Arabidopsis thaliana: one gene and its partners. The protein of the gene in region 3 interacts with the protein of the main gene of each other region in a pairwise test. Each region holds a gene or a part of one and is shown on either strand. Other genes may lie near its edges. The genes, in order: BRCA2(IV), EMB2719 and DSS1(I).

Region 1 (8,585 bases), on a different chromosome or scaffold from region 3:
TGTGTTTGCCATTTATCACAACGCAAGCCGTCAAAAGCGACAGACAGCTTCTGTCATCTAATAATGATGCTTGCTTTGCCAATTGTTTTACAGGCTAAGAAAGAGGTGACGACTGTGGAGGATCCTTTTGATTCTCCTACATACCACATCCCGGAGAAGCCGGTGACCTTTACAGAAGGTGCGTCCTACAGTCTTGTTATTCTGGCTGGGCTTGGTGTCGCTGGAGCTGCTGGCTACGGTGTGTTTAAAGAGCTCATTTTTCAACCAAAAGAGTGAGGCTTCAGAAATCTAATTTGATTTATCTGCTCAGACACTTGGATTTGAGTAATCTAAAGACACCATTATGTATTCTAGGTACAAGGTCTTTGACAAAGCCTTGAAGAGAATTCAAGATGATGGTCAGGTAATTAGAAACTAACTCTACAGATTGATCATAGCGGAGGGGTGGTGTATGAAACAAAAGCATCTGTTTATAAAATGAAACAATTTCTGTGACTGTGATTGTCTTGTTAACTAGGTGAGGGTTAGGATTGGATCCCCCATCAAAGGCTATGGACAAGAAACTAGAAACCGAGCTGCTCGTCAACGTATACCCAACAGAGTATTTACAGATGAAGACGGAGTGGAGCATGTTGAGGTATTTCATTGTAGAACCTCTATTGCGCTTGGATTCACATTCTTGCTATATAAATTGTCTAGAGTTTTGCAGGTTTAACATGATCAAAATTGAATATGCTTCAGGTAAACTTCTACATCCGTGGGCCTCAAGGAGCAGGGAAAGTGTACACGGAGATGTTTAAAGACAAGGCAGAGAAGGAATGGAAATACACGTACCTGATCGTAGAGATTTTAACACCTTCCCCAGCCAAATTGATGCTGGAGTCTTATTTGCCTGCCTAAAGCACTCGTATTTATGACTCAGCAGATCCGGAAAACATTCAGAAACGGCTTAGATTGTTTTAGTTGGGGTGTTGGAGAAAAGAGAGAGAATTGTGTTACACATGAGCTGTAGGAATGACTTCTTATCAAGCAACTGTTTGCTAATTGAAAAACAAGTCTAAACTGTGTTTATGATCCTCTTGGGGATGTCTAGGATTTTGAACCGAATTCAAGTTTGAGGCTTGATAATATTTTTATGCGTAAACATGAAACAGAGACATGGAGAATGCATATATCATGAAGCATCAAGTATACAATAGAGGCAATCATGGATCAAACGGTGTTTATGGTATCAGTAAGACAGCGGAGAATGCAACCGGGACCAACTCTCTCTCTGAGTTTCCCCGAGCCATCAAGGCTACAAACATCTCGACTACAAGGGCCAATCAAATTACATAATCACGGAAAAAACAAGGATAGATACAAGCAAACCTAACACTCGAGCAATAATTTGAGTAATAGAAACAAGAAACCAGAAATCGAAACGAAACGGAACGAAACACAAGATTTCCTAATTAATCTTGTGTTTAATTAAGAAAAGAAAACACAAAAAAGTTGAAAGGTTTAGTGGTGCATCCACGTAGCAAGACATTTTAGGTGTACGTCGACCATATTGTTGGCCGTTTATAGAGCATCATCCACTCTCCTCGACGAGCAAGATCATGCCGCCTCTGGATTCTTCTCATTCATCGGTGTTCCTGCGATCCCCTCCGTAGCACCCTCCGCCTCCTCAGCGCCTTCCCCGTGTAAATTACCGTTCTGCATGTTTAGAAATTTGACGTGGAAATTGTTGCAATGTAACTTTCTGTGATACTTGGCTATTGTTGCAATGTAATTTTCATTGAAGTCAGTCACCAATGACCATTGAACAGATGTTTTAAAATGTCCACGTAAGCAATTGTTGTTTGGAACGATTTTCGGTTAGCATTCGTGCCTTTTTTACCTCAATAAAAGGCCGTGGCATTAACTCACTTGTCTTGAGACGTTATGTCGTTAAAACCAAGCCCAAAGTTAATTTCGGCCCAAATCGTTTTCAACTTTCCCGCCGTCTTTTAACTTTTTAGATTTTTGGTGATGGTTTTGGGGGGAAAGAAAACAGAAAATATAAAAATAAAATTTCCGCACTCCCGACTCTTGGTGTGGTAGGCAATTCTGAATCGCGAGGTTTAGTTCTCCGGCTGAATCAGAGAACGACGAGTCGGAAAAATTCGAAACTCTAGAACTGAATAAATGTCGACGTGGCAATTATTTCCCGATTCCAGCGGCGATGGTTTCCGGTGGGAAGTCGCTGGCCGGATTCTTCAGTCCGTCTCGGATTCTACGCCAACCAAGGCGCTCGAATCGACAGCTCCTCTACCTTCTATGGCCGATCTCTTGCTCCAAGGTGATTCTTCGTTTCTTCCTTTTTTTGTCGAATCGTGTTTGTCATGTGACTCAAAGGAGATTGAATTATTATTTGATGCTTCAAGGATGCTCGAAGCTTATAGCACGGGAAGAAGCGATGCCTGGGGAAATCCCAATGTTCAGGACTGGGCTAGGGAAGTCTGTAGTTCTTAAAGAGTCTTCGATTGCTAAAGCCAAATCCATTTTAGCAGAGAAGGTTACTTACTCAGGTACTTTATGTGACAGTATTGAATTCCCTTGACTAGTCATTTGTTTCTGAATTCCCTTGAATTGTTACTTAATGTTGGTGAAAATGGTTTCCTGAAAATCTTTTGAATGTTCCATGTTCTTGGCTACACTTTAGATTTGCGGAACACAAATTGCTCAATTCCCCAAATGAGACAAGTGGATACAGCTGAAACTTTGCCAATGTTCAGGACGGCCTCGGGGAAATCTGTCCCTTTGAAAGAGTCTTCAATTGCCAAAGCTATGTCTATTCTAGGAAGTGATAAGATTATTGACTCAGGTGTGTTCTTATCTCCTCTTTTTTAAAGTCTTATTTCCAGTATAGCTGTGTGCGCGTTTACATATGAACTTGTTCTTTGTGCTGCTACTCCGTTCAACTTCCAGGTTCTTGAGTTTGGTTGTTATCAGATGAAATGATGAATAGTGAAGAACTAATCAACACACATCTTACTTCGTTTAGAGGATGAATATTAGAAGTGACATTTTTTCATAGTTTATTTGTTAATAAGATTCTTTTTGATTGTGTAGACAACGTTCTTCCCAGGGAGAGTGGATTTGGAGTTTCCAACAGTCTTTTTCAGACAGCTTCCAACAAAAAGGTTAATGTATCTTCTGCCGGTTTAGCAAGGGCCAAGGCATTGTTAGGACTAGAAGAAGATGATTTGAATGGATTTAACCATGTGAACCAGTCGTCTTCTTCCTCCCAGCAACATGGGTGGTCCGGATTAAAAACTCATGAGGAGTTTGATGCTACAGTAGTTAAGCATCATTCAGGAACTCCAGGACAATATGAGGATTATGTATCTGGGAAGAGATCTGAAGTCTTAAATCCATCTTTAAAGGTGCCTCCAACAAAGTTTCAGACTGCTGGTGGAAAATCATTGTCAGTGTCAGCTGAGGCGTTAAAACGTGCCAGAAACCTTCTTGGTGACCCTGAATTAGGGTCTTTCTTTGATGATGTAGCTGGAGGTGATCAATTTTTTACACCAGAGAAAGATGAAAGGTTAAGTGATATTGCTATAAACAATGGAAGTGCCAACAGAGGTTATATTGCTCATGAAGAAAAGACAAGCAACAAACATACGCCAAATAGTTTTGTATCTCCTCTTTGGTCATCTTCAAAGCAATTTAGTTCAGTCAACTTGGAGAACCTAGCTTCAGGGGGTAATTTGATCAAGAAATTTGATGCGGCTGTTGATGAGACCGATTGTGCTCTGAATGCTACACATGGACTATCAAATAACAGGTCTTTGGCATCAGATATGGCAGTGAATAATTCCAAGGTAAACGGTTTCATTCCAAGAGGTAGGCAACCTGGAAGGCCTGCTGATCAGCCACTTGTTGATATAACAAATCGCAGAGATACAGCTTATGCATACAATAAACAAGACAGTACCCAAAAGAAAAGGCTGGGAAAGACAGTCTCCGTTTCTCCTTTCAAAAGGCCAAGGATTTCATCCTTTAAAACTCCTTCAAAGAAACATGCTCTGCAAGCTTCAAGTGGTAATATATATGATTAATTTTTTTAAGAATTTTTTATGTTAATCTAATTGGTTGGTTCTCAGGTTTATAGTTTTGGTGTCCTGTCTATTATCAGGTTTGTCTGTTGTATCGTGTGATACACTTACTTCCAAAAAGGTGCTTTCTACAAGGTATCCAGAAAAGTCTCCAAGAGTATATATCAAGGACTTTTTTGGAATGCATCCAACAGCTACGACCAGGGTAAATTCTTTTTGTCCCTTTCAACTGTTCCTGCGTTACATAGCTTTTTTCTTCATTCACTCAAACACACTTACGAGGTGGTTTTTAGATGGATTATGTGCCAGACCATGTCAGAAGAATCAAATCAAGTAATGCAGATAAATATGTATTCTGTGATGAGTCTTCTTCAAACAAGGTTGGAGCTGAAACTTTTCTTCAAATGTTGGCTGAGTCTGGTGCTTCCTTACAACATGCATCCAGAAAGTACTTTCTCTGTCCCTTGAAATGTTAACCGTGTTATTTGTTTATTATATCAGAAAAAGTGTGTGACCGTTCTTTTGAAGCTTGCATGTGATTGTCACTCTATTAGATAGACAGTGAGTATTGATGTCTATATCTATTAACTTATCCATCACTACGTATGCACTAGGTGGGTCACTAATCACTATAGGTGGATAGTCTGGAAACTTGCATGCTACGACATATACTACCCAGCCAAATGCAGAGGAAACTTTCTGACAATCACCAATGTTCTTGAGGAACTAAAATACAGGTTTCCCAGTCTCACAACACAACTCGTTACTTAAACTCATGCAAAGTCTAACATGGTTAATCTTTCTTAATAGATATGAGAGAGAGGTCAATCATGGTCATTGCTCTGCAATCAAGAGGATTCTGAGTGGTGATGCTCCAGCTTCTTCAATGATGGTGCTCTGCATATCAGCTATTAATCCAAAGACCGATAATGATTCTCAGGAAGCACATTGTTCTGATAGTTGCAGCAATGTGAAAGTAGAACTCACTGATGGGTGGTATGAAATTGCTACTGCTATTCTGTTACCTGTTTTCTTGACTCATTTCCATATGATTTTTTTTAAAAAAATCACAGGTACTCGATGAATGCTGCTCTGGATGTCGTACTAACAAAGCAGCTGAATGCTGGCAAATTGTTTGTCGGGCAGAAGCTTCGAGTAAGTTATTTTCATGCAAGATATACTTTGTTTTGCAACACAGATTTTGGTTAGATCACTGACTTGCAGCATGCTTACGTTCTTATCTCTTATCTGAAGATCCTCGGGGCAGGACTTTCTGGCTGGGCTACCCCAACATCACCACTTGAGGTTTCCTAGACTTTGCATTTTATAAGATTTTCTGATATCTTCTCAGGTTGGTTTGTTCATAAGAGTTTCATTCAACCAAACTTTCAGGCAGTGATTTCAAGTACAATCTGTTTGTTGTTGAATATTAATGGGACATACAGAGCTCACTGGGCGGACCGACTAGGCTTCTGTAAGTAGCTTTATGCTGTGGGCCTCACTACATCATCTGAGTTCTTATTGCTTTCATATTGTTATCTTTCCATTGATCGTTTATAATCTCTTCCTTCCTCAAGGTAAAGAAATTGGTGTCCCTCTGGCTTTAAATTGTATCAAGTGCAATGGGGGTCCAGTGCCTAAAACGCTAGCTGGCATCAAACGAATATACCCCATCCTATACAAGGAAAGGTCAATATAAATGTGTGCCTGTTAATGCATTTTGGTCTTCTTTATACTTCTCGCAAAGCATTATATTTTCTTGATGTATACAGGTTAGGTGAAAAGAAGTCAATAGTTCGATCAGAGAGAATAGAAAGTAGAATTATACAGCTGCATAATCAGAGGCAAGTTTCCTTATAACTGTAGAGAGCAATTTTTAGTAACATTGATGTGATCAATTTAGCACATGCATCTCTTTCTAAGAAGTGTCAGATTAACTCATCAAAGCTAGAGACATTTTGTTACATACAACAATTTGGTGGCGTCACCAAGTTGCAGCCTTGAACCATTTGCTCTTTTCATTTTAAATCCTAACATGTTATAGAGCATATAATTATAATTATCATGCGCAAATCGGCATGTATCAATTTAGTTATATTTATCATGTGCAATTGTGCATGTATCAGTTTACATACATTATATTATCATGCAGATTATGGGAATCTTAGCGGTTCAAACGTCTTAAAGTACTGCATAACTACATATAGTTTGACTATACATAACTACTTATTTATGGCTATGATCGTAAATTTTAGTATAAATGCAATATTCACTGTTAGAATACGATATTCAAATTCGTTTTCAGAATTCAGAGAACAAAAAGTAGATAAAGTGACCTTGGTTTATGTTGTTTTGGTCAAATTTATCGTTTATAAGTTTGCTAGCTAATGTTATACTATTTGCTAACATATAATTAAATGTTGAGTGCTAATCTCGAATTTTTTATTAGAAAAGACAATCTTTGTATTTATTAGAAAAGCTTCTGGCCTTCTGATTATGGATGGTTTTCCCAACAAAAGAGCCAAAGATTGCAGTTCGTCATGGTTTATTCTCATTCATACTTGCCTTTTTTTTTTCTTTCTATTTTCCGTAGGCGCTCAGCTCTTGTTGAGGGTATTATGTGTGAGTACCAGAGAGGAATTAATGGTGTTCACAGCCAGAACGACACTGACAGCGAAGAAGGAGCCAAGATCTTTAAGCTGTTAGAGACGGCTGCTGAACCTGAATTTCTTATGGCAGAAATGAGCCCAGAGCAGTTGAGATCTTTCACTACATATAAAGCAAAATTTGAGGTAGAATAGTAATTTCCTTTTCTTGATATATTGATTACAGTAATTAACTGCTTCAATCTGAACCTCAGGCAGCCCAGCAAATGCGGAAGGAAAAATCAGTGGCAGAAACTCTGGAAGACGCTGGTTTAGGTGAAAGGAACGTCACCCCGTTCATGAGGATTAGGCTTGTTGGCCTGACGAGCTTAAGTTATGAAGGAGAGCACAATCCAAAAGAAGGCATTGTAACAATCTGGGATCCCACGGAGAGACAGGTACATTCAAATGCCTAAATCTGAATGTTTCATGCACAATTTAAAACAAGGCATTTTTCTAATGGCTAATAAGTTTACACGGACCTTATCCATATGAGCTTATATGGAACGGGGAGTTCCAAATATAAGCTTTTCAGAGTTGCTGTGGACCTCGAATGGACTGAAATGCATATCAAAGAATCGTTACCATCACTGTACTGTTGCATTAAGAGCATCATCGATTAGCTTGTTCAACTTTTTTCTTGTAGATTCTTAAAACAGTTATCATTGTCTACTACTGTGACAGAGAACCGAGCTGACAGAGGGGAAAATATACATGATGAAAGGGCTAGTACCAATAAACTCAGATTCAGAAATACTTTACTTACATGCGAGAGGGTCAAGCTCAAGATGGCAGCCTTTGTCTCCTAAAGATTCTGAAAATTTTCAGTAAGTGGTTTTCTTTAGTAGACACACTGGAATCTATCTCATTAATTTGTTCAATTTCCCTGATGATGTTTTCAGGCCCTTTTTCAACCCTCGTAAACCAATCTCTTTGTCAAATCTTGGTGAAATTCCTCTTTCAAGGTTAATCTCAGTAGTCCAAGCTTTTTATGAAACACTCTTTACCGCACTTTGCTAATCTATACCCTGTCATCTCTAATTATGTCCTTCAGTGAATTTGATATCGCTGCGTACGTTGTATATGTTGGAAATGCATACACGGATGTTCTACAAAAGAAGCAGTGGGTGTTTGTGACAGATGGATCCGCACAACATTCAGGGGAAATCTCAAACAGTCTTCTTGCTATAAGCTTCAGCACCTCATTCATGGATGATAGCTCTGTTTCCCACATCAGCCATAATTTGGTTGGATCCGTGGTATGTACAAATTCTAATCTTTGTCTAGTTTTACACAGAGAGAATATGCACCAAGAGATTAAATTTTGAAAAATATATGCTTGTTATGGGTCTTAATTTTTGGCAGGTCGGATTTTGCAATCTAATTAAAAGAGCAAAGGATGTGACAAACGAAATTTGGGTTGCTGAGGCAGCAGAGAACTCAGTCTACTTCATAAACGCAGAAGCTGCCTACTCTTCTCACCTCAAAACCAGCAGTGCCCATATCCAAACATGGGCTAAGCTCTCTTCTTCCAAATCCGTTCGTTCTCGTCGACTTCCTCTTTCTATAATTATTCGGTTCAAAAAGATTGGTCTTTTGTATTAAGCCTTCTTGGTTTGCTCAATTTTCAGGTCATTCATGAACTTCGGCAAAGAGTCTTATCTATAATCGGTGCTTGTAAATCACCTTCATGCTGAAGATAAATCATACCCCACCTCTTCTCTTAAGTTTTGTTTATAAGTTATCTAACCCTCTGCTGATTGTATCTATTAAAGCCCATTTTGCTACATCAATTTCTGAAATTTGAAATGTATGATCTACTCTCATTGATCAAGTAACTTTGAATTATTTTGTG
Region 2 (6,446 bases), about 17 Mb from region 3:
TAAGAGAATAATCATATGGGTAAATGATTTCTTGTGCAACGCGGTGGATATTTAATTTTTGCTTAAAATGAATAAAGTAAGACGAAAGAAAGACAAATGAGAGTTTTTTGTTTGTGATACAATCATGTGCAGGTTGGTCTGAGCAGGTTCATCGGTCACAGACTCTCACATGCTCACTTGTCCTACATTATTAGCAACACGCCAAATCTCTTTCATTATCATTATGATTATTTTTTTGGGTTAATTGTCCCTCAAAACTTGATTTCCAATCAAAGTTGATGAAGATCACCGTCACGACGTCGTTTGTTACGAACACTTCCGTCAACTTAACACTTGTTCGTTGTCACCAACATATGAAAAATCGTGGACTGCAAAGTCTGCAATCCGAAATCCAGACTACACTACCAAGTAACTTCCGCAGTAAGAAAACAAAATATGGATACTGGATACAACAAGATTAAGGAATTGAGGAGCTTGTTTGGATATGATTAGAGTGTAAGAATATATTGACCCATTACAAATCTACAATTATGAAAATTACATTTTGATTGTATGGATTAAATAGTTGGCAGTTGTAGCTATCAAAGAGCCCGGGTATTATTCTACAGATTTTTGTCATTATTAAGAAGTTAATGAATCGAACCAGAAACACCTATAATTAAAAGCATAACATGAGATTGTTTTATTCAAGAAAATGAGACCTAGTTTGGCAGAGATAGACTAATGTATCAATACACATAATGGTCAATACACATGTCCTGTTTTCATTCTTTAGATATTTATGACTGCTTATCTATCATTTAATGTAAATTATGAATGTGGATTTTAATGGTATGCATCGCCTGGAGATGATAGCATTTCACATGGTCAATTTCTAATAATGACCCACCTAATACAGCTAGCTATAACTACAAGTGTTCAATTCTTAAAATGCGAAAATCTCCCAAACACAATTAAACGAAGTTGAATTTGATCTTCTGAAACCAACAAGATAAATATCTTTTCCTAAAGTGAAACCAGAGTAATAAAAAGGTTCCTGAGGATAAAAATCCTCAATAAAGAAACACTTAGAGACGATGAGAAGAGTACCAAGTAAACTTGTGAACATAAAAAAAGTGAGACAGATGGAGAGTCAACTCTTATAAGAAATAGATGACCTTTGTCTAAAAATCATCATCGTCTTCCTCAGCCATATGCTTAGCAAGCTCTTCTTCCTGTTGCTTCCTCTCTCTCCTCTTCTCATCGCTTTCTTTCTCCTTGTGAGTGTTAGGAGGAAACCTCAATGCTCTGACAGCTTCGTTATGCATGTTGAGGCAGAAAGCAATTCTTGAGTTGAACGCAGTTTGTGGCTCATTCGTCGAGTAGATGTCCCCAGTTTCTTTGGAGACCATGCATCCGTTTTTGTGATCGATTGTAGCATCAATAGCTCCGTCGCGTATGGCCTTTGCCACGATGCTTTCCGCATCAGCCACAGGGTTTTCAGAGTTGAGCCTCAGCTTTTTGGCAACATCGGGTAAAGAGATTCTTGAGTAGGAGATACTTATGTTCCGCAGTCCAGTCCTGATGACATTGTGGCGGAGTCGCACGATGAGATTGTGCGTTCTGTCTTGAGCAAATGTGTCCAAGAACTTCTCCTGGACTGTCCTAAACAACTCCAAGTCCCCAATCCTAACCGCCTGTAAAATCAAAACAGAGCTTTAATAGTAAGCCTCAGATCAAAATCAGTATCAACTATCCAGTTGCATCATATATCTCTAAAAAGCAACAGTAAACAGCCAGAAATTCATGTTCAATATAATTCGAAGGAGCAGAAAACAACAGCAGCAACAAAATTGTGTTTCAAGTGACCACAGAGAGATTTTAACAGAAGAGGTGTATAGGCCAGTAAGTGAAAAGTAGGAACCGGTTTAAAATCAGAAGTGAAGTAGCAAGATCACAAGTGACCACATACTAATACCAGTTTAGTTATCCGCTCATAAATTAATGAATACATGTCACAGCAGCAAGATTATGAAAGTGGACTCACATTTGTTAGCTCGAAGTAGGGTCTGAGGGCCTTCTCCATACCCTTTTGAGTGAAGATAGAACGCTCTGGTATCTCACCCAGCAGTAGACGAACCAGAATTGCCCATTTATTGCATTGGATCCTGAAGCCCAAAGCTGCTATAGGGGCTTTCCTGGCCGCCTGAAGAAGGCTCTCTTTTGCGTCCGTATATTCGAGCTGAATAGTACGAATCTTCCCGAGATAGAAAAGGTACCTACAAAACTGCAAAGTATAATGTTTTAGACAAGTCATCTTGCTGTTTATTCTTTTGAAACAGTAACAATTGAAGGGTTAAAAAAAGAACAAAATTCATATGTAGCAAAGAAAAACACAAGGTAGATCGATGGTAATGGTAAGAGGTGGTGTCAGAAGTATGAAAAGGACAGGCAAAATGGACACTTCAAGTAAGTTCGGCAAATAATTAGTGATTGAAAAGAAAACACAAGAGCCTCCTAGATGGAAAATGCTATAGCGAATAGAAAAAATAATTCTCTGGAAAGATTGCAGAAGTGGCATTGGAGTTTTCATGCAAATATAGAATCTAGAGAACCGAGAAAACTTAGAGTATGAAGGAATAGCCAAGAGCTACCTGTTGGTTTGAATGAGCCTCAAAGCGAGGTGCCTTTGATCTTAGCTTCTCTGCCTGATCATAGAGGTTGTAATGCAAATAGTTACGTAGCAACAGGTTCAGAAGGGTTTCCTGCATTCAACATGATAAATTTGAATAAGAAGCAAGTAACAGTTTCAAAATAATGAATGCCGACTGAATGAGCTAAACAAAGACATACCTGACCCAGCTCATCGTGTCTTAGCGTTGCAGAATGATGCAACGCAAGAAGAGTACTGCAGGTAGAAAAAATGACCAGATTATTAACTATTGAGCTACTGATTAATATGAGGTGTAAGACAAAGTACAAAACTAAAACAGTCTTTGAGCTACTAACCCGCGAATTTCAGCAAGATCACCGGTTTGCTCATAACTCAAAGAATAGTAAAAGTAGAGTCTTGATGCTATCACATCAATGGTCCTTCGGTTGACGTTCTTGAGACGAGCAATGCTTGCTGAAGAACAAGCTTTAGCCTAAGAGATGATTAAAAGCAACTCATTAAAATTAAAATCACAACAGAAAAGTAACTTATGACAAAACACAAAGATACAGCAGTAGTTACCTCGTTGTACTTCTTCTGATCAATCAGAAAAAGAAGAACAATGAAGTAGCAGTAGATCTCGAGCTCTGCAGGTAGATGCTTAGAAGGAGCAGCTTGTGTGGCCGATGAGGCAGTATCAACTTCCATGTCATGTTCATCACCCTAAACCATTAAAAGTTCCAATATTTCAGTCTCTAAGCCAGTTGTATGTTAGATAACTTGCCATTCACAACATCAAAAGAAAGTATAACAACCATAACACGAATCTAAACAACCTAAAGCCAGATGCTAAAAGGAACAACCAAGTTGAGAATTCTGAAACATCAAAGTGAAGAAGTAAAACCCACAAATACCTTAGGAACAAAGGAAGAGAGGCGAGAGTGAGCTTCGGATCCTGGAACCAAAGCAAAATCCAGGAAGGAAGAGAGCACAGAGCCGGTGAGTTTCTGCCTAAGCCCTATAGTGAGACGCACAGCACGAGCAATACGACGAACCTCCTTCGTGTAAGACCCAGTATCGATGAGTGCTGCAATCTCCTTCAAATCTGGGAAACAAAGAAACAAAGCGTCAAAACCCAGAAGAAACTTAGCAATTATGAAAACAGTTCGAGAATTAAAGCATTCAGATCGAGATTTACTCTGCATAGTAGAGGTAGAAGAAGAGATAATCGATTGAGAAGGGGTGTTGTTATCTTTCATCTCCACGTCCTGAGTCATCTTTGCACAAATCTCGTTACTCTTCACAAAGACAAAAACAAGGTTAGGGTTTTTGCAGAAGTATGCAACTAAGCCGGTGAGATTTCAAGGAACCGATTGAAGTTTCAACCAATTTGTTGACTGAGAAAGACGGAGAGATAAAGACAGAGAGCTTACTAAATCGATAAAACGGAATTCGCCGGGAGAAAGTGACGATGATGGATCAGATTTAAGGACGAGCTGATGCTGCTGAGACTCTTTTCTTTCCTAAGTATTTTCCTTTTTTTGGACACAACAAAAAAAGTATATTTCTTTTTGTTCAAGACAGCTTTTTTCCATATTAGTATTTATATCTTCTACATTACGATTGAGCAACAAATGTCGTTGTAGTATAGTGGTAAGTATTCCCGCCTGTCACGCGGGTGGCCCGGGTTCGATCCCCGGCAACGGCGATTAACTTTTTGGTTACTAGTTTTGTTTGGACCTCTCTCACTTATTTTCGTACGCTTTCTTCGAATAGCCCAAAACACAACCAGCGCAAGTTGGGTTAATTTCTTTTTGTCTCAAAACACGTTGGAACTTGGAATTACAATTTTATTATTCATTATTTTTTCTTGTTATCTTTTTATGTTGTTAGAATATATAATCAACTGATATACGAACCAATGGAAAAAGGCAATGCCAAAGGGGGTTGTTTACTTGTTAGTGTCAATACGCCGACGAATGTAATTGGAGTCAAACAAATATCCAAAACTCAAAAAAGAGACAAAACTAGAAAACTCTTGAAGGAATAAAAACTTGAAAATCCAAGATCCATGATAAAATAAATGAGGATATATATAACCTAAAGCGACATGAACGAAAGATTATTCTACGGCAACAAGTTGCTTTGAAGAACAGAGACAAAAACATGAGAATGTAAGAAAGATCCAACTTCATTCAATGACCCTGGTCGCTCATGCAGCAGCCTGGATAGGTGCTCCATTTGATCTGTTGAATCCACCACGGCCTCCTCCTCTTCCACGACCTCCCCTTCCACGGCCACGTCCTGTTCCAACAATTTTTAAACATTTACAACTCATCATTATTTAATGAGAAAACATTAGTGTAACAAAATCATCAACGTACCACGTCCCTGAGGCGGAGGACCATCATATCCATGGTCTGCTGGAGGAGCAACATTGTTGTATCCATAGTCTCCTCCATCTTGTTGAGCTTCATAGTAAGGTGGTGGGGGGCCATTGTAACCTCCTCTTCCTCGACCACCACGTCCACCTCCTCTCCCACGCCCGCGTCCTCTGCCATATGACCGGTCCTGCTCCATACCTCCATCATTATACTCATTGTTCACATATCCACTTCCTGGCAAATCCGAAAGAAGAAATAGCACAAGCCAATCAAACACTTGTCCGCCGATCACATGCAAATATGTTAAAAGGTAAAACTAAGATTTGGAAAGAAATATTCTAAAGCAATTCTACCTCTGCCGCCTCTTCCCCTTCCTCCATCATCATACTCATTGTTCACATATCCGTTTCCTGGTAAATCAAACAAAAAAAGAAATAGCACAACACATTCAAACCCTTATCCACAAATCATATGCAAAAATCTATACTCAAATACGATTTGGCTAAAGATATCCTACCTCTGCCACCTCTTCCCCTTCCTCCATCATCATACTCAACATTCGCAGGTCCATTTCCTGATAAGTCGAAAAAAGGAATTAGCACAGTCCACTCAAACGCTTATCCACAAATCACATGCAAAAGCTTACAACGAAACTACGACACTGTATAAACAATTTCTAAAGTAATCCTACCTCTACCACCTCTTCCCCTTCCCCTTCCTCTTCCTCCTCTACCTCTTCTTCCTCCTCTGCCTCTAGGAGATCCGTCTACAAGAAAGAGATAATTTAAAAACTTAAAAAAGACAGCAGGGCAGGGAGCTTAAAAACGTCATTAAGAGTGAGACTCTAAAATACCTTGCCCTTCGTAGTCAATCTCAGCCAATGGCTTCACCATCTCAATAGGAATCGGACACTGGTACCTATAGCATTATTTAATAAGATATATTAGCATTGGAGACAATGTACCTCTCTAGACACAAAACAACAAAATCCCCAATAAGAGAATAGACGAGAAATAGCAAAACAACCAGTCCTAGAAACTCACCCAACTGAGGATGTGTTCAACTGCTCCTTGGAAAGTGTTATGGTTATCATCGACACATGCCTCGTGGTCTCAATTCTTCAGGAGAAAAAGATGAGTTTTAATAAATAACAGGTCAAAGTAACAAAATTAAGAATACAACATGGTTACATGTGTTCCGGTACACTTAAAACAATAAACTTGATACTAAAGTCTAGTGACCACATACGTTTGAAGGCCTTCCTCTGTAGGTTCCCAGGTATCTGTAATGTCCGTTGATCCAATAGATGTGATCTGATGAAGACCAGGAATCCTTCTCTGCATCAAGGATAACAATATAATCTTCAGATACACAAAAGAACTACAACTCTGAGATCAGGAAACAGACTAAAACCAGAAAATACCTTAATC
Region 3 (4,848 bases):
TTAAACTCTTCACTGCAGAAAGATAAAATGTTCAAACTCTTTTCTTGGTCTCAGGTTTCTACAGCAGTTGTGGAGCCGTATAACAGTGTTCTCTCGACTCATTCTCTTCTCGAACACACAGATGTTGTTGTTCTTTTGGACAATGAAGCCATATACGATATCTGCAGGAGATCTTTAGACATTGAGAGGCCTACATACTCCAATTTGAACCGCTTGATCTCCCAAACCATCTCTTCGCTTACAACTTCTCTAAGATTTGACGGTGCCATCAATGTGGACATCACCGAGTTCCAGACCAACCTTGTACCTTACCCTCGGATCCACTTCATGCTCTCCTCTTATGCACCTGTGATTTCATCTGCAAAGGCCTACCATGAGCAGTTTTCGGTCCCTGAGATCACGACTTCCGTCTTTGAACCCTCCAATATGATGGCTAAATGTGACCCTAGGCATGGCAAGTACATGGCTTGCTGTTTGATGTATCGTGGTGACGTTGTGCCCAAGGATGTCAATACAGCCGTTGCTGCCATCAAAGCCAAACGAACAATTCAGTTTGTTGACTGGTAAAGAGCTCACACTACTAGTGTTTCTTTCTCTCTTAAGTCTCCTTCTACTACACATTTCAAATCTTTGGTCATGTTAAAATTAGGTGCCCAACTGGATTCAAGTGCGGGATAAACTACCAGCCGCCTTCCGTTGTTCCAGGTGGTGACCTGGCTAAGGTTCAACGAGCGGTTTGCATGATCAGCAATAATACTGCAGTTGCTGAAGTGTTCTCACGTATAGACCATAAGTTTGATCTCATGTACTCCAAAAGAGCCTTTGTCCATTGGTATGTAGGAGAGGGTATGGAAGAAGGAGAGTTCTCTGAGGCTCGTGAGGATCTTGCTGCCCTCGAGAAAGATTATGAGGAAGTTGGTGGAGAAGGAGCGGAGGACGACGACGAAGAAGGCGATGAGTATTAGAAAGACACAAGAGTGTGTGTTCCCTTGTTTCTTTCTTGTGAAGTACAGTAATTATGTCTTTGTGAATGTGATCTCTACAGTTATTTTGTGATGTTTACGGGTCTCTCCCCTTTTATTTCTCATTTGTGTTTACTAAAGGATTGCATTTCTAGTGCATCTCAATACATAGTTTGAAGGATTTTTGGCATTTCAAATACCGTTTACGCTCTAATAAAGATCCTTGTAAGAAAATGTACATAGTAAGTTAGTAACTAATCCATGTCCATACGGAACACACCGCAATGGATGTTGAGAGAAGATGATGATCTTACCAGTTTAAATTTATCATCTTCAAAGATAAGAAATTTCCATCCAGGGAATAGTAAAATGTGCAAAGGAAAAGCAGAACCGATAACATAAACCAAAGGATGCAGTACAAACAAAGTTCCAGATCATAAAAGAAAACCAAGATTTCCTAAATGTGAAGACCTGTCTTTCACAATCTTCGACCTTATTTCTTGTCAGTACCATTCTCAAGCTCCTTCCTTAACTGACGTGAGAAGTCGTCATTGACATCATCATCATCCCAGTCATCTTCCCACTGCTGGCTAACTTCCTTCACTTCTTCTTTCTCCAACCAATCTGCCCAACATAAAAAGATCCATCAGTATTTACTTTGACCGTAAAAGGACAGCAAAAACATCCATTCCACATCCAACTACACAACTCATACAAACAGAAACCCTCTTTATCAATTCTTTCAATAAAACTATTAGTAAAATCACAAAGCAAAATCTGTTAAACCTTTAGGCTACTCAATGCCCTCAAATAATTCCCAAATCCTCAATAACCTTTAGGCTTTAGTAAATGAAGCGTTGACTATTAAGACTAAACCTAATCATCAATAAGTTGCTGAAAAAAACTGCTCTTTTATCCATTTAGTAAGTATGAGACTATAGCTTCATTGTTAGAACTATATGAAAAAAGATCTATCAACCTATCTCACACCTGAAATTGACATCAAACAGATTCGTTTTCATATCAGACCTACTCAACTCATACACTAGTCCATCTTTATCAATCCTTTCAATACAACTACTAGTTAAATCTGAAGAATCAACTAACTTGCAAATCAAAATCTATTAAAATCAGAATCTGATACAATTCATACAAATAATTCTCAATTCAACCATATAAAGCATTGCCTGTATCTATCAATCAGTTGCTAATGAAAATCGCTCTTATATCTATGGCATCGTAGCTTCATCGTTAAGACTATAAAACCGATGATGAATCGATTCAAAAATCGAAGAAGAAACAAGTAATAACAACAAAAATTTTACCTTCGTTAATTTCAAATTCCTCGAACTCATCGTCGTCCTCAAACAGATCCATCTTTACTACTTCAGCAGTCGCTGCCTTCGGTTCTGCCGCCATAGTTACAGATTGTTAAAGGAACCAACCAGATCGAGATAACCTAAGAAGAAGAAGAGGAAGACGAAAACTCGATAAAATTTTCCAAGTTATTATTGCAAAAGCATGGAATTGATAATGATGAAACCCTAACCTCTCTGAGAGCTTTAACGAGAGAGTAAGCGAACTTTTGTTTTTCTTAAGAGAAGAAGCAAATAATAAAGGGAAGGTTTTTTCTTTTTGTATAGAACCGGTTCGACCGTGTTTTCCTTTTTGTGAATTTGTAAAATTTGATGGTTTTCTATTTATTTTTTAATTGCTAAAAGAAATTGTAACATTAATGAATTTGTAAAATAAAACTGTAGTGTAAAACTGTATTAAAATATCGATAGAACAAGTATCTGGATATTCCGATTTATCTAGGATTCAACTTCTAAGAACATGGACAAAAGAATCATTGTAATATATATATCTGTAAGAAAACAATTAGGCTCACAAAACCTCACTAAGTTCAACAAATTCAATCTAACCTCAAAACATCATCCCTGATAACAGAAACCAAACGATCAACACAACCAAAGAATAAGACGAACAAGAAAAAGAAGAGGCTGAGGAAGCCACAATCTGAATAGGGAAATTGCATTGTCCTTGAGATATATTCTGCGTTGTAATGGTGGCCAAACCTTGAAAATAGCAAGCACTCTCATCTTGATTCTTCACTTGAAAGAACATGTTAAACGCATACGACGCGTTTCCATTTGCATCAAGAGTATTGCAAGAAGATCCGTATCCAAGCGCCGTGCAATCAGAGAAAGTGCAGGCGTAATCTATATTAGCCGCGAGTTTTGTCAAGTCCTTGGCTTCTGGATTAAACGTACACCACTTGTTGGGTAGATACGGCACGTTTTGTGCACCAATCAAGAACTTACTCTGTCCTTGACCTGAAAGATCTATAGGAAACTTTGGTTGCCCGTCGAATTTAAATATTCCCCAATGGCGTTCGAACGGTCCCGGTGCTATACTTTTTGCATCCTCGTCGAGTAATCCGAACAAGTATACCTCAATGTAGGTTGGTCTCAATGGAGTTCCTTTGTTTGTTCCAAGCCTCGGTAAAAGCCCGTTGTAGAATCTGTAAGCACTGCCTGTGAAAAAACCGTTTTCAAAATCAAAACTAAAACACTTCATAAAGGATAAAAATCCATCTAAAGAAGGTCAGATATCAACCTGCATTAGCGTGTTTGTCACCCTCTGTTGGCCAACCAACTTCTCCAACGATTATTGGCATATCTCCGTGACCAACAGCTTTCAAAGACGACACCAAAGTATCGAAATTGGCATCGAAAACGTTTGTATAATCAATACCGTTGTCGTTTATCGGTTCAGCACCATCGAAGAAGGCGTAGTTGAGTGGGAAATCATCATTCCCATAGAGACTTAAGAAAGGGTAGATGTTAATTGTGATGGGAGCATTGTTCTTGCCAAGAAAGTCAACAATCTGAGTCATTTGACCGATGATATCGGGACGGAATCTTCCTGCAGATGGAACGGGATTGCTTGCTGGTGAATCGTATACATCCGCGTTTAAAGGGACTGTTGCTTTGACAGAGTTTCCTAGTCCGGCTTCATTTAAAGCGTTTTGAATGTTCGCAAGTGCAGGGAATGTGAGGTTTATGAACGATCCATTGTATGATTTGAGGAATGGCTCATTCCCAACAGCTACAAACCTGAAACACATCCACAAGTGATTAGCTTCACTGAGACATGTAAACACATTTTTCTCTAAACATGTTCTGCATTTTGACAGTACTGTTAAAAGATTTGACTTTTATAGATATAAATACATTTTAGTGGAAACAGGTTCTGCATTTGACAGTAGTGTTAAAAGATATTTGATTTCATAATCAGACAACACAGATTTCACCAGACATTGAAAATCAACCCTAAACATCCAATCTTCAGAAACAAACATATATAGCTAGACACATTTTGTCTATAGACATAACTCACTCATGGTTATGCATTTGGCAATGTCATAAACTAAACAACCATGGGTTTATGAGGTTTCGACAAACAAACACAAAGAATGTTAATTTTGACGTTTAGACAAACACTACAACCAATCAATAACAATAACATTGAGACAGAACAGAGAGGAAGAGAGACAAACTCACGTGATATTGACACCACCATCGAAGTTATAACGAGTGACATTCTTACGAACCCAATCTTTGGCTCGGTCGTAACTAGTCATAACCTTAAGCTGATCATTGGGAATAGCGACCATCACTTCAAGACCCGATCCAGCGAGTGCACCCATGGTTGTCTCGTCCGCATCAAAAAGCTTAACTTTGTTGATGTTATTGTCTTTAAGCATCTGAACCACTGTCTTTGGAGGTAGCTTATGTGTAGCCATTGTTCCCCAATTCACACCCAACCCATTTACCAAAATACCCAAATGACCAATTACGATTACGAATCCGACGACGAGAGC

What was found.
Region 1: the proteins of DSS1(I) (region 3) and BRCA2(IV) interact in a two-hybrid assay, tested with the Arabidopsis thaliana proteins (one study listed by BioGRID).
Region 2: the proteins of DSS1(I) (region 3) and EMB2719 interact in a two-hybrid assay, tested with the Arabidopsis thaliana proteins (one study listed by BioGRID).

Annotation. Positions count from the first base shown.
Region 1 is NC_003075.7:3,949-12,533, reverse strand, and holds the start of BRCA2(IV) (BREAST CANCER 2 like 2A), read left to right. Parts: upstream 1-2,169; coding exon 2,170-2,323; intron 2,324-2,408; coding exon 2,409-2,552; intron 2,553-2,686; coding exon 2,687-2,848; intron 2,849-3,096; coding exon 3,097-4,071; intron 4,072-4,165; coding exon 4,166-4,290; intron 4,291-4,378; coding exon 4,379-4,505; coding exon of another isoform or gene 4,506-4,533; intron 4,534-4,586; coding exon 4,587-4,620; intron 4,621-4,699; coding exon of another isoform or gene 4,700-4,720; coding exon 4,721-4,822; intron 4,823-4,895; coding exon 4,896-5,081; intron 5,082-5,158; coding exon 5,159-5,240; intron 5,241-5,339; coding exon 5,340-5,390; intron 5,391-5,477; coding exon 5,478-5,559; intron 5,560-5,662; coding exon 5,663-5,774; intron 5,775-5,857; coding exon 5,858-5,929; intron 5,930-6,678; coding exon 6,679-6,877; intron 6,878-6,945; coding exon 6,946-7,128; intron 7,129-7,414; coding exon 7,415-7,557; coding exon of another isoform or gene 7,558-7,561; exon of another isoform or gene 7,562-7,632; coding exon 7,633-7,695; intron 7,696-7,784; and 10 more. Other genes in the region: SD3 (import inner membrane translocase subunit), read left to right, coding at 94-272, 355-403, 518-637, 742-900. UniProt on the Arabidopsis thaliana protein: Involved in double-strand break repair and/or homologous recombination by mediating RAD51- and DMC1-facilitated DNA repair. Plays an essential role in both somatic and meiotic homologous recombination.
Region 2 is NC_003070.9:7,000,246-7,006,691, forward strand, and holds EMB2719 (PAM domain (PCI/PINT associated module) protein), read right to left. Parts: upstream 4,188-6,446; 5' UTR 4,066-4,187; intron 3,931-4,065; 5' UTR 3,910-3,930; coding exon 3,831-3,909; intron 3,738-3,830; coding exon 3,547-3,737; intron 3,356-3,546; coding exon 3,215-3,355; intron 3,126-3,214; coding exon 2,989-3,125; intron 2,888-2,988; coding exon 2,833-2,887; intron 2,745-2,832; coding exon 2,634-2,744; intron 2,267-2,633; coding exon 2,027-2,266; intron 1,677-2,026; coding exon 1,164-1,676; 3' UTR 842-1,163; downstream 1-841. Other genes in the region: AT1G20220 (Alba DNA/RNA-binding protein), read right to left, coding at 4,845-4,936, 5,017-5,250, 5,370-5,426, 5,534-5,590, 5,708-5,782, 5,870-5,934, 6,060-6,134, 6,265-6,353 and 1 more. UniProt on the Arabidopsis thaliana protein: Acts as a regulatory subunit of the 26 proteasome which is involved in the ATP-dependent degradation of ubiquitinated proteins.
Region 3 is NC_003070.9:24,051,332-24,056,179, forward strand, and holds DSS1(I) (deletion of SUV3 suppressor 1(I)), read right to left. Parts: upstream 2,578-4,848; 5' UTR 2,512-2,577; exon of another isoform or gene 2,422-2,511; 5' UTR 2,382-2,421; coding exon 2,288-2,381; intron 2,065-2,287; coding exon 1,942-2,064; intron 1,587-1,941; coding exon 1,456-1,586; 3' UTR 1,031-1,455; downstream 1-1,030. Other genes in the region: TUA1 (alpha-1 tubulin), read left to right, coding at 55-563, 650-965; AT1G64760 (O-Glycosyl hydrolases family 17 protein), read right to left, coding at 2,889-3,499, 3,582-4,081, 4,529-4,848. UniProt on the Arabidopsis thaliana protein: Subunit of the 26S proteasome which plays a role in ubiquitin-dependent proteolysis.